Linked DNA regions of Schizosaccharomyces pombe. Changing the gene in region 2 together with the main gene of any one other region gives a genetic interaction. Each region holds a gene or a part of one and is shown on either strand. Other genes may lie near its edges.

Region 1 (3,759 bases), on a different chromosome or scaffold from region 2:
GCTTTGTTTAATAGATCATAAATCGTTTCATTGTAAATTTCCAAAAACTGACCTCTCAATTTATACACCCACCCTTTCTCCCTCAAGGTTGATAGATAATTAAATATATGCTTAATTGACATCGCTATCATACCGTCTTGTGACGACATTGTGTACGTCTTACCCGATCCTGTTTGTCCATATGCAAATATACTAACATTATAACCATCAATAGCGCTTTGAATTAACTGTGATATTTCCTCAAAAACGGACGAGTTATCGCTTTCAGGAGCAAAGACTCGATCAAAGGAAAATTCATAATTACGATCATAAGTATGCCCGAGTGATGATTCAACATTAGGCCCTTTAAGAATAAGTTTTTGTGGCTCTAGTGCGTCTTTATCTGGAAATTGTAAAACATCAGCAATGCAATATTCGGATTCTTCACTTGGGAGTAGTGGTCTAACCCTACAAAAAACTCGAATATTTCCCTTTAGTTCTTGAATGTCGTTATGCAGCTTTCGTCTGATTATTTCTTCTGCTAACAGTTTATTATACATATCTTCATTTCTCCGTTCCAGCTGTTGGATTCGAGCTTGTAGTTCCAATGCGTTCTGGCCATTATTTCTTTCTTTATCTTGAATACTTGCAACATATTTAGAAAGTTCTTCAAGTTTTTCAGATGTAGAGTGGTGTTTATGCTCTTCCTTTAACAGTTTATTTCGAAGCATGTCAATTTCAGCTAACTTGTCTTCTAATTCTATACGCAGAGAGGAGATTTTTTCTTCATATTCTTTTTCCGAGTATGATTTTTCCGATTCATATTCTTTTACTGCCATTTCCAACTCAGATATTCTCCTTTTAAGCTTTTTAACCGTTAAATCATTCTCATATTCAATGTGGGATATTCGATCATTTTCTTCTTGTTGTTTCATTTCTAATAAGTCCAGAATTTTTTCTTTAAAACGCAAAATTTTCTCAGTACAAGAACCTTGTATCAGCACTAGAGCTCTCCGAAGTGATTCACAAATATTGGCATATTCATGTTTATATGACTTTACTTCGTTCTCAACAAAATCCCCAAAGGATTTTCGTTCACCATTTAGATTACAAACTAGAGAATGTGTTTTCTTTTCATGATAAAGTGCAAGTTCTTTGTGTTCTCGACGTAGCTTTTGGTAGCTTGCATTCGCAGCTTCTAACCTTTCCTTGGCTTCCTTCAACTGGATATTCGATATCGATAATTCAGAGGAAAGATTTTCTTTTGTTTCTAAAACTTTAAAATAGTTAGTAATCAAATAAAGTCAGCATAAAGACATGTATTCTTACTATCTTGCTTGGCCTTTTCTGCTGCCTCTCTGTATGATTGAAGTTGTAACGAATATTCATGATCCTTTTCAGCGTAAACCTGTTCTTGTACCTGAAGATGTGATCTAAGGTTCAAGTATGCAGACTCAATATCATCGGTTTCGTCTTTCGATAATAAACGATGTTCGCCATTAGATAGCATATGCAACCTTTCTAACTGTATAATATTTTTTGGTTTGCTTTTTAAATCTTTTATTCTCTTTAATGTATTAGAAGAAGCCATAGCTTGATCACTCTCGTAGGCTAACGTTGATTCGCATATTGTTTTATGAGATTCAATGAGATCTTTTAATTGAGGCAGCCAACTCTCTTTAAATTTGGAAACAGATTCTTCGTAATTAGATTCATGAGTAGAAGCAATTGGCGCTGTGACTACAGCGGCCTTGTCTCGATTGCTGTCCCTCTTCTTGCCATTAATGTCGCTTTGTAAAACGTGATTTTTTGATACGAAATTTTCGTATTTCAAATCATGTACTGCATCCTCTTGATTTGTTTTAATAATTTTTTTTGGTCGATATATTAAGTCCTCAGAATCTGTGTTTAAAGCATCTTCCTGTCGTTTATACCCTGTGTTTATGGAAATGTCCTTTGTATTCTTTCGCATTAATAAGATAAGTTACTCAGAAGTACCTCTTACCTCAATTACCATCTATAAGTTAAAAAGAGCGTTTTATAGAGTAATTCTTCCCAATACTATAAACACGAATTTATCAGCTCGACAAAACAGATTTTGATTAGCAGATGCTTTAAGAAACGTAAAACTATTTTACGTGGGTTAAATATGAGTGTTAAATTGTTAAGCAAATTCCAATGCTACGCATCATTATATGTCTCAAGCCTCTCGTGTATATCCATCTATGTTATTAATCAATGGTGTATAGAATACAATTGATTCCATTAACAAATAGTACTTAAGTAATATTATTTATATTATGTAATTCCACATTCCCTGATTGATTTTTGGAATATCTCAAACAAATTCAGTGTATCCTTACGTGTCTTTAAGTGAATTACAAAGTCCGCGGAAATGTGTAACACTACCTAAAATTTCGGTGAGCTTATATTACGATTTGCCATGTAGCGGTAGGTTGTACGTTTAACTAACAATTGTTACTTTTATTACTTTAAAGAAGTCTAATAGTGTCCAGTCAGCGATCTAGCTAACGACTAAACTAAAGGAGCGAGGTTCAGTTGTAGCTTTATTTAAAATGTCTCGATTAATTTATATCAATTGGAATATATTTAGATAGATGGAATTTTATCCGTAACTATGAATAAATAGATCTTAACTACTATTCTAGCAGGCGATATTTAGTGATACGAAACGATGTATATTATAGCGTAGTGTAGAATTGCTGACACCCAAAAACCTTTAATGTATTATGGTGTTTTTTATAATATCCATCGCTATAACTCTTAAATCAGTAGCCTGAAACTTAGCTTTGACCAATGTCTACGATCTTAAATTCAACTTAATAGACAAAATAAATGAAGATATGGAATAATTTGTTTTGTATATAATGAGTATAGAGTTTGTCGGATGGTTAAATACATATTACGTTGGCATTGATCAGAGTTCATATGAAGCTAGTAAGCTTCCAGGTATTCGAAATGTAAAAGGTGGAATTCATCTTTTCACTTGGTCTCCAACATACCCTGCTGGATTAATTTCTGGAGTTTTTGCTATGGTCCATGAAGATATGAAATATAGTATCGACTTTGATTCGAAATCTGAAACAGCTTCTTTGCAGAAGCTTGATGTATTATATGACGAAAACTTTTATCCCTTTGAATCAACAAAGGATTGGGACTTGTTGACGAAGTTCATTACAGTTCAAGATCTTCAAAGAATTTTTGCTACTGAAGGTGAATTTTTCTACTTAGACACTTCAACGTATGTCAACGCTGATCTTGTGTCACAAGATCCGGAATTCTCAAAACCCTCTCGAGACGATAAACTATTAAATTTCGCTGAATTCAATTTACGACGAAGCTGGTCGCCGTCTGCCACTGGACCTGAACGGTCTAAGCAAGCAATTGATAAATCGTTTTTGTTTCAAAGACTCGTCCAAAGCGTGTGGAATGACAATCCCATCTCTGCATTAGCGGAATTATCAATTTCCTTTCTGAGCTACTCTATTCTCTCCCACTATGGTGCTTTGGAGCATTGGAAGAATATGTTGAGTTTGCTATTGCAGTCTTATGAATTGGCGGAAACTGAACCAGAGTTTTACGCTTCCTTTTTGGAGCTTTTCAAACTTCAGCTTAGCTCACTAAGTGAATCCGACTTAGAAACGTCTGCCATTTTTGAGAAAGGCGTTTTACTATCTTGCCTTGATAGTCTAAGTGAAAGGAAAGTGGATGGTAGCTTTGGTTCTCTAGTAAACGAAGCGATAGAAAATCTCCTAAAAA
Region 2 (3,759 bases):
CTTAATAATGATTTCAAGTGTTTCTTAACCTTATCCATAGTATCCTTGGCAGCATTAGAATCATCTAACAGATCTTTGCGAACTTTGAGTAAGTCGCTAGGAATAGTTTCTTGCTCCAAAAAGGCCATTGCAAAAATTTCAGCAGAAGCAGAGACACGTCTTTCAGAAGATGTGTATATTTCGACATCTTTCAGGCAATCACGATTCATAATATACAGGTCCTTATGAAACTGCTCTCCTAAATCCTTAGATTGGTATCTCGCGGAATGAGTAAATTCACCACCCCATTTGATAATTAGCTGCAGTTTCAAAAGCTTTCCCTCTGGGGAATAAGCCGGTTTAAGTTGCACTTTTGTCCCCGGTAAGTCTTTCTTCGTTTCCAAAGCTAAGCGTAACTGTTTTAACTTGTTGATATCTTCGCATTTGAGTTCTGTAGCAAGGTTGGTAGCTGCCAAAACAGAATTGAGTTGTTCGTTTCTTAAAATAACTTCCTCGGTATGACCTTGCAATAATTTTACAAATGGATCAGATGTAAATGAAAACTTAAACTTTTGTTTAGGTGTACGATCCGCGTGACGCAGGACTCCGACCAAACTTTTAAGTCTCCATGCCTCACTTTCTCTAGGCGGAGGATTTAAAACTTCTTGGACTGAAGGTACACGATTCCGTCTATGACGTTCGGCAACATGAAACATTTGTTTCAAAATTCGAGCAGCATTATCATAATAATCGTTGTTATCCTTGACGAAGGACCATCCATTCACATCAATCACATACGACTGACCTGAGACACGAAGAAGATCAAATCCACAAACAGGTTGCTCAAACGCAATTGATATCTTAGAGGCCATATTTTTTTCTTCCTCTGAAAGATTGGTGATAAACCTAATTTCCTTACCATGTGGATTCCTTCTCACAATTCCGTCCACTACGGGTGATTTGCGGGTTTCTGCATGGCTGTAATGAGGACCCACGGTATAAACCTTTACGTCTTCCGCGTTATCGACATTCATGAATTCCTCGTAAATAAAAGATCCTTCAGTGCGTGGAGCACAAAGATCTGGATCATAATCTGAAGACTTATTTGCGACTTTACGAAATAATTTGCGACCTCCCCCACCAACGGATTTAGGGAAATAAATATAAATATTGTGATCTTCACCATAGACTGGTTTTTCAACGTACGGCTTCTTTATTATCTTGCCATCAACAGAAAGAGTATCTTCGTCCAACATTTTTACTTCTGGGGTAGGAACCTCTGTGATTTCTATTCCAAACTTTCGACGCAACTTTTCTTCTAGGACTTTATTAATTTTAGGACCTCCATCACGAGAGCAAATCAAACGCTGAGGGGTGGAAACACGTATGGCATCAAGGATGTTCAACACAAGCCGTCTATCCCAAAGCAACTCTTGGAATACTACATCGTTTACACAAAAAGGTTTACGCAACTCGACATACTTTTCAGCTTTCTTCAATGGAAATCCACTAGAGTAGAAACATATCAAATAATCACAAGCAGGCCAATTTTCCACAGCTTCGTCCAAAATCATGTTGTCACCGAATACTATGGCTTCAAACTCACCTTCTGCGATGATTCTGTTCAGAATATTCCGACATGGTTTTGAGCGAGCTTTGGCATCCATGGCACAGATTCCAACTACATTTCGTTTAGTAGGTGTAACGATTGAGGAAACAGGCGACGCCGTTCTGGTAGATGACTCTGTGTCGATAGATGTAAGATGACTTGCATTTTGAATCATCCTTTATTATTCAACTACGTTAAAATATTTAATAACGCTTAAAACACCTTTTTCCCACTTGTATTCTTTCAATGGCCAATTCCCTCACTTGTTTGGTTATGAGAGATGTAGGTACACGGTGTTAGTACACACCTAGTCGATCAATGTTACTTGTACGGTTAACCTTACAATTCAGCGAGGTAACATTTGTTTACCTAACGAAATGTAAATAAATAAGAAATTGTTGCTTAAATGAAGTGGACAGTGAATATTGAATTTGTTTCGCAGTAATGCTTCTATGAATAACTTTTTTACTAATTATACTGGGTTAGTTAATTTGGGTTTTCATAAAAATTTTTTTAACCAAGCCCAGTTTCTGTTATTCTTCTTTCAAAAACGTATTCTTCCAGTTTAGTAAAAGCTTGTAAAATCCATCAATATTAAATTAAAAAAGAATTAGAAAAAATTTTTGTTTAATAGGTTTTTACTTTTCGTCCGTGCGAAAACACGTGGACTGGAATGTTTAAATTTTACAAGCAACAAACATTAAAAAATTACTTCTACTAGCTGGGTTCAAGAGTATATTGTTCTCGCACCTTTTACATAAAGAAAAATATTTTTTAAGAATTTACTGAAATTTATTTCATTATTTACAAGCCCAGAATTCCAACAATCATAGATTTACCTTACCACTTTTTGATATATGTGAATAGAGTTCTTTAGGTATTCTGAAGAGAATGTAGAAGTTTTGCTAACATGTTTTTACGATTAAATCTTACAATAACATTAGACATCAATGTTTAGTTCTCTTTTTTTTTTAATAATAAATAATTTGTTTACTTAAATAAACGGAACAATAGCAGAACGATTCTTATTTATAATTACCGAAAATTGATATATGACGGATTGACCATATCGTTAAACACATTTATCGATTTCAGTAAATACACTGTCGTAAATTAACGATTATTACTGTAGGTCGTAAAGGGTTGCTAGAATTTCACAAACACTGCTTTTTGCAAGTTACAGGACAAGAGCCATCCTTTGCCATTTTACGTGCTATTTGTGTTCTTTCCTGTGATAAAATGCCATTTGCAGAGAAGAAACGGAGGACTTATGAAAATGCGGTGAAGCCTCTAAGAAAATCTAGGATCTATGCTCGTAAGTCAAAATTCTCTCTTTTTCTTTTGGAATGAACAGATTGCTAACTGTATTTTTAGCCTTTAGATCCATCGGTCACGTTTCCAATGCAGTACCTTTCGACATTGAGGCTCGTGGAACCCATTTTTTGGTAACAACGTCGGTGGGAAACACATTTCAAACATATGACTGCGAAAAGTTGAATTTGCTTTTCGTTGGCAAGCAATTAGACAAGGAAATTACTTGTTTAAAATCCTTTAAAGATTTCATGCTTGTAGCTGCCGGATCAAAAATTTTTGCATATAAACGTGGTAAAATAATATGGGACATTGATGTGGAGCAAGAACATGGAACAGTCACTCATTTAGATGCTTTTGGTGAGTGGATTATTGCTTGTACATCTTCTCGTCATGTTTATGTATGGAAACACGCTTCTAAATATAGTGTTCCTGAGCTTCATACTACATTTCTTCCTAATACCAATGCAGATATCACTAGTTTACTACATCCAAGCACTTATTTGAACAAAATACTGCTAGGATTCTCAGATGGAGCATTACAGATTTGGAATTTGCGTGTTTCTAAACGTGTACATGAATTTCAGGAATTTTTTGGTGATGGAATCACTAGTTTAACACAAGCCCCTGTCCTCGATGTTTTAGCTGTTGGTACTATTAGTGGTCGTATTGTAATCTTTAATCTTAAAAATGGTTCAATACTCATGGAATTCAAACAAGATGGCCAAGTTCTTTCATGTTCATTCCGTACTGATGGGACACCAATATTAGCTTCTTCCAACCCCATTGGTGACCTTTCTTTTTGGGATCTTTCAAAGCGAAGAATTCAAAATGTTACATATAATGCTCATTTTGGGTCA
Region 3 (3,759 bases), on a different chromosome or scaffold from region 2:
CAAATCTCATATTTACTATTCTATAACACCGAGAAGGTATCAATTGCAACAGTGTTTTTCGTTTAACCGAACAAAAATTATGCAAAAACTAAAGTCTAAAAACGACGTCGCAAGCAAATCTCTTCTAATAATATATGCATCAAAATTTTTTCGACTCTTTCAACTGAAATCTAGCTGTCTAAATACCCCCACTGACTGGAAAATAGATATTTTTCGATAGATTGAAAAATACACTGGCAATAAAAGAAGCAAACTCCCACTTTAACGGGTTGAATAGAGATAAGCCGGCTGTTTCAATTTGTTTGTTCAAGCAAAATGTCAATTAGTGAACCTCCTAAAAAAGAAAATTTCGATAAAAATTAACGACTCCATATGGTAGAATAATCAAGGAAAGATATACAGCCCAATATTGGACTTTAAGTAGTAATTAAATAACAAAGAAGGAGATAGCAGTAGAACTGCGGTGTCATACAAATAAATATCAGCTAGTAAGGAGACTATTTAAAAAACTTCCTTTTACTCTTCTCATTTTCGGCCGCAGCTTTAGCTTGCATTAACCGATTTTTGTGATCAATTAAGTCAGCTTTTTGCTTCTCCAATGCTGCCTTCATTTCGCGATGACGGGTACGTAACTCGTTTTCAGATTGTTTAAGACGATCTTCTTTTTCTTGAACCTTCTGAGAAAAAATGGTTTTCATTTCTGCTTCCATTTTCATCAATTTCTCTTCGTGTAAGGCACGCTCCTCTTCGAGTTTAGCACTAGGGTTGACTTCACGAAAAACGGAGTGATCTTGTGATATTCCGCTGCTAAGCAACCGTTCAGTACGATACGCTTCATACAGCTTATTTGTCTGTTCTTTGAGTTCTTCTAAGTGTGTTCGAATAAGCATTTCACGAAGCTTAGGGAAATCAGAATGCTCTTCATTATCGACTTCAACAACGCCCCATGGGTACCGCCTCCCGCGGACGCGCTTTCCTTCATTGTTGACCACGAATGTATTAGAAGCAATTATAGCAAAAGGTATTCTACTCATGATGTCTGCATTTTCTGCCACTGATTCAGGATCATCGGTCTCATATGTCGGAGGGAAGAAAATTCTGATATTGTGGTATTGGATATCTCTCAAAATCTATCATTTTTTCATTAGCAACTTTAAATCAAGATTAGGGCTTACCATTTCCTTCGTAAAGTTAAGTTCATCATCCGTTAGTGTATCGGCTTTCGCAATGATGGGTATAATATTTACTTTCTCGTGCAAAGCCAACATAACTCGAAGCTCCATAGCACTTATAGCATGACCAGTAGGCTGAATAAAAAATATACAAGCATGAACTCTTGGATCTTGAATAGTAGATCGAGGATTGTGCTTTTCAAGCTCAAGATATTGATCATAGCGACCCTCGATATCTGTCAAAACTGGTTGCCAACAATCGGTGTTGTCAATAAAATCGCCAAAACCGGGTGTATCAATTACATTTAATTGAAGACTGATACCATTTTCCACTATTTCAACTGCAGAAGAGTTGATCATAACAGTGGGTTCTGGGTTCACTCCAAAATCCCCAGTTAAAGATTTCTGGGTCGGTGGGTAAACATCTCTATTCAATAGCGTATTCACAAGTGTAGATTTCCCTGAACCGCTTTCCCCTAATACTAATACGTTGAAATTAAAACCTTGACGAACACAACGACGATGCCATTGATTAGGAAGACTAGCGAATCCAACGTATCCGTTCAACTGACGCTGGATTATACTAACGTGCGGATTGAACTAAATATTAGTAAAGGAATTTTAAATAATTGATTACCTCTTGTTCAGAATTATCCTGAATGGGTTTTTCTTCATTCTTGTTTTCTGAAATGGCTGCCTCAACATTTATTTGCGTTACATTATCTGTAGATGTGAAAGAATCAACGTCGGAACCCCTGCTTCTAGTGGAATCATCTTTAACTGTAGGCATACCATCCGCGAGTACCATTGACGCCATGTCAGAAATTATCGAAAACCCCCGTGTTGGTGGTTATGTATGTGATGAAGAGTGTAGCTAGGAGCTCGAGCATGAACATCTATTTGCTCAAGTAGGAAATTAAACTTAACCAATTTTTTTCTTAATTATGTTTCACGAAATTATAGAGCTTTTTTGAAATTTCTTAATTCACTGTCGCGTCGAATTTAGGTCCTTAACCTCGAAATATACACGGCTGGGATGCATTAAATAAAAAGATACTAAACATTGTTATTCCATTGTTTTAGTTGTCTTGTTAATTTTACAATTATTTTTTTTAACAATTGGATAAATCTAATGAATTAAAATTATCCATTATCTGTATTTGTTTAAAAACATTTTTTGACCTTTTATTTATACCTAAATTATTTGTTTGAATACCCTTTCAGCATGCAATCATCTAAATCTTTTGAATTTAATTTAAAATATTTATTTTTCTATTAATATAGAACCTTGGGCAGTAGTCGTTGAATTGAGCATTAATGCAAATCCAATTTATTGCACAACTGATTATTTATTCAATTGAACTTGTACGTCGACAATGTGACCCTCAACGATTTTAAAGATTTAATTATTAGACATAAAACACAGTTAGAAATTATTGCCTGGCCAACATTTTCATGCTAATAGATGATTCAGAAACAAATATCTATATTTCTTTTCCTACGAAAAAGTAAGATCAAACTAAAACATTAGAAGCTTGTTTACCGTATATTTTTGATCTTAAAGGACTTTTAAGATAAATTTGAACTTATTATAAATAATAAAATGTTAAAAAAAAATTTAACATAATAGGATCATTTTTACTAATTAAATAACGATTATATTAGTCTTTATAACAGCGTTTACAGTCTCCGAATTGCAGTATAAGCTCTAAAACTCAATTGAATAAAGGCATTTAATAGTCAATCATTGTTTTGTTTTCCTTCTAGCTATTTCAGCTCTTCTTGCTATCAAAGCACGGAATGACTTAACGCGGTGTTGTGTGGCTGGTATCAGAGAAAGAATAACTCCAGTAAAGGTACGCAAGCAATCCCAGTATGTCGTCGTTAAAACTATGAATATAATATGTCAAAAATTAATGTGAAAAGACGTTAATCAACACAATATAGAAGTACGTGTCTTATATTAAGAAATCGAAATATCTATAATTGAATTTAATAACGAAATCTTGCGTGACTACGCTATTAATTCTAGTTGTTATGAATACAGATGGGATCAAGGTAACTGGTATTCACCTCCTTTTCGACGTAACCAGAGCCACACATTATACTGGACAAAGGCGTTCTCTGGCGGCGGAATCGAACCAATATATAAGAAAACACTCAAATTCTGGGTTTATTGGAGGAAATTTTTTATTTTAAAAACAGTTTCTTTTACTCGAAAAAGCGTTTTTAATACTTCTTTCTTTGGCTTTGTTTTTACTCGATAGGGGCAAAACCTGTACAAGCTTGATTCGTGAACGTACGACATAATCCTTTGTTTGTATTAATGCTTAAATTATCTTAAGTATTTATTAACGGGGTATTCACTAGTTGAAATACATTTATATATATAAGGTGTTACTTTCGCGACTACAGCTGTTAGCCGTTGCTTTTTTAAGGAATTCGCATAATTATTTAAGAACTCGATTCTGTTTAGACCCACAAAACAACATCCAGATTCGGGTTGATTTTAATTTTTAACTCTCTATTTTTATTACTCTTATTAAATTGTGCCCTTCCATTTTTATTTATAAACTTTAAGATGCGC

The links.
Region 1: of asp1 (region 2) and pkl1, extra expression of one impairs growth in a mutant of the other (dosage growth defect), as found in Schizosaccharomyces pombe (one study listed by BioGRID).
Region 3: of asp1 (region 2) and spn1, changing one suppresses a phenotype caused by changing the other (phenotypic suppression), as found in Schizosaccharomyces pombe (one study listed by BioGRID).

What each region holds. Positions count from the first base shown.
Region 1 is NC_003424.3:3,437,170-3,440,928, reverse strand, and holds the start of pkl1 (kinesin-14 family minus-end directed microtubule motor Pkl1), read right to left. Parts: upstream 2,040-3,759; 5' UTR 1,997-2,039; coding exon 1,985-1,996; intron 1,947-1,984; exon of another isoform or gene 1,943-1,946; coding exon 1,309-1,942; intron 1,256-1,308; coding exon 1-1,255. Other genes in the region: U5 snRNP-associated protein Aar2, read left to right, coding at 2,868-3,759.
Region 2 is NC_003421.2:572,710-576,468, forward strand, and holds the start of asp1 (inositol hexakisphosphate kinase/inositol pyrophosphate synthase), read right to left. Parts: upstream 1,864-3,759; 5' UTR 1,764-1,863; coding exon 1-1,763. Other genes in the region: U3 snoRNP-associated protein Utp21, read left to right, coding at 2,828-2,903, 2,963-3,759.
Region 3 is NC_003424.3:4,851,316-4,855,074, reverse strand, and holds the start of spn1 (mitotic septin Spn1), read right to left. Parts: upstream 2,036-3,759; 5' UTR 1,990-2,035; coding exon 1,810-1,989; exon of another isoform or gene 1,773-1,809; coding exon 1,176-1,772; intron 1,131-1,175; coding exon 498-1,130; 3' UTR 1-497. Other genes in the region: mannan polymerase complex subunit Mnn9, read left to right, coding at 3,754-3,759. UniProt on the Schizosaccharomyces pombe protein: Plays a role in the cell cycle. Involved in a late stage of septum formation leading to the separation of the daughter cells.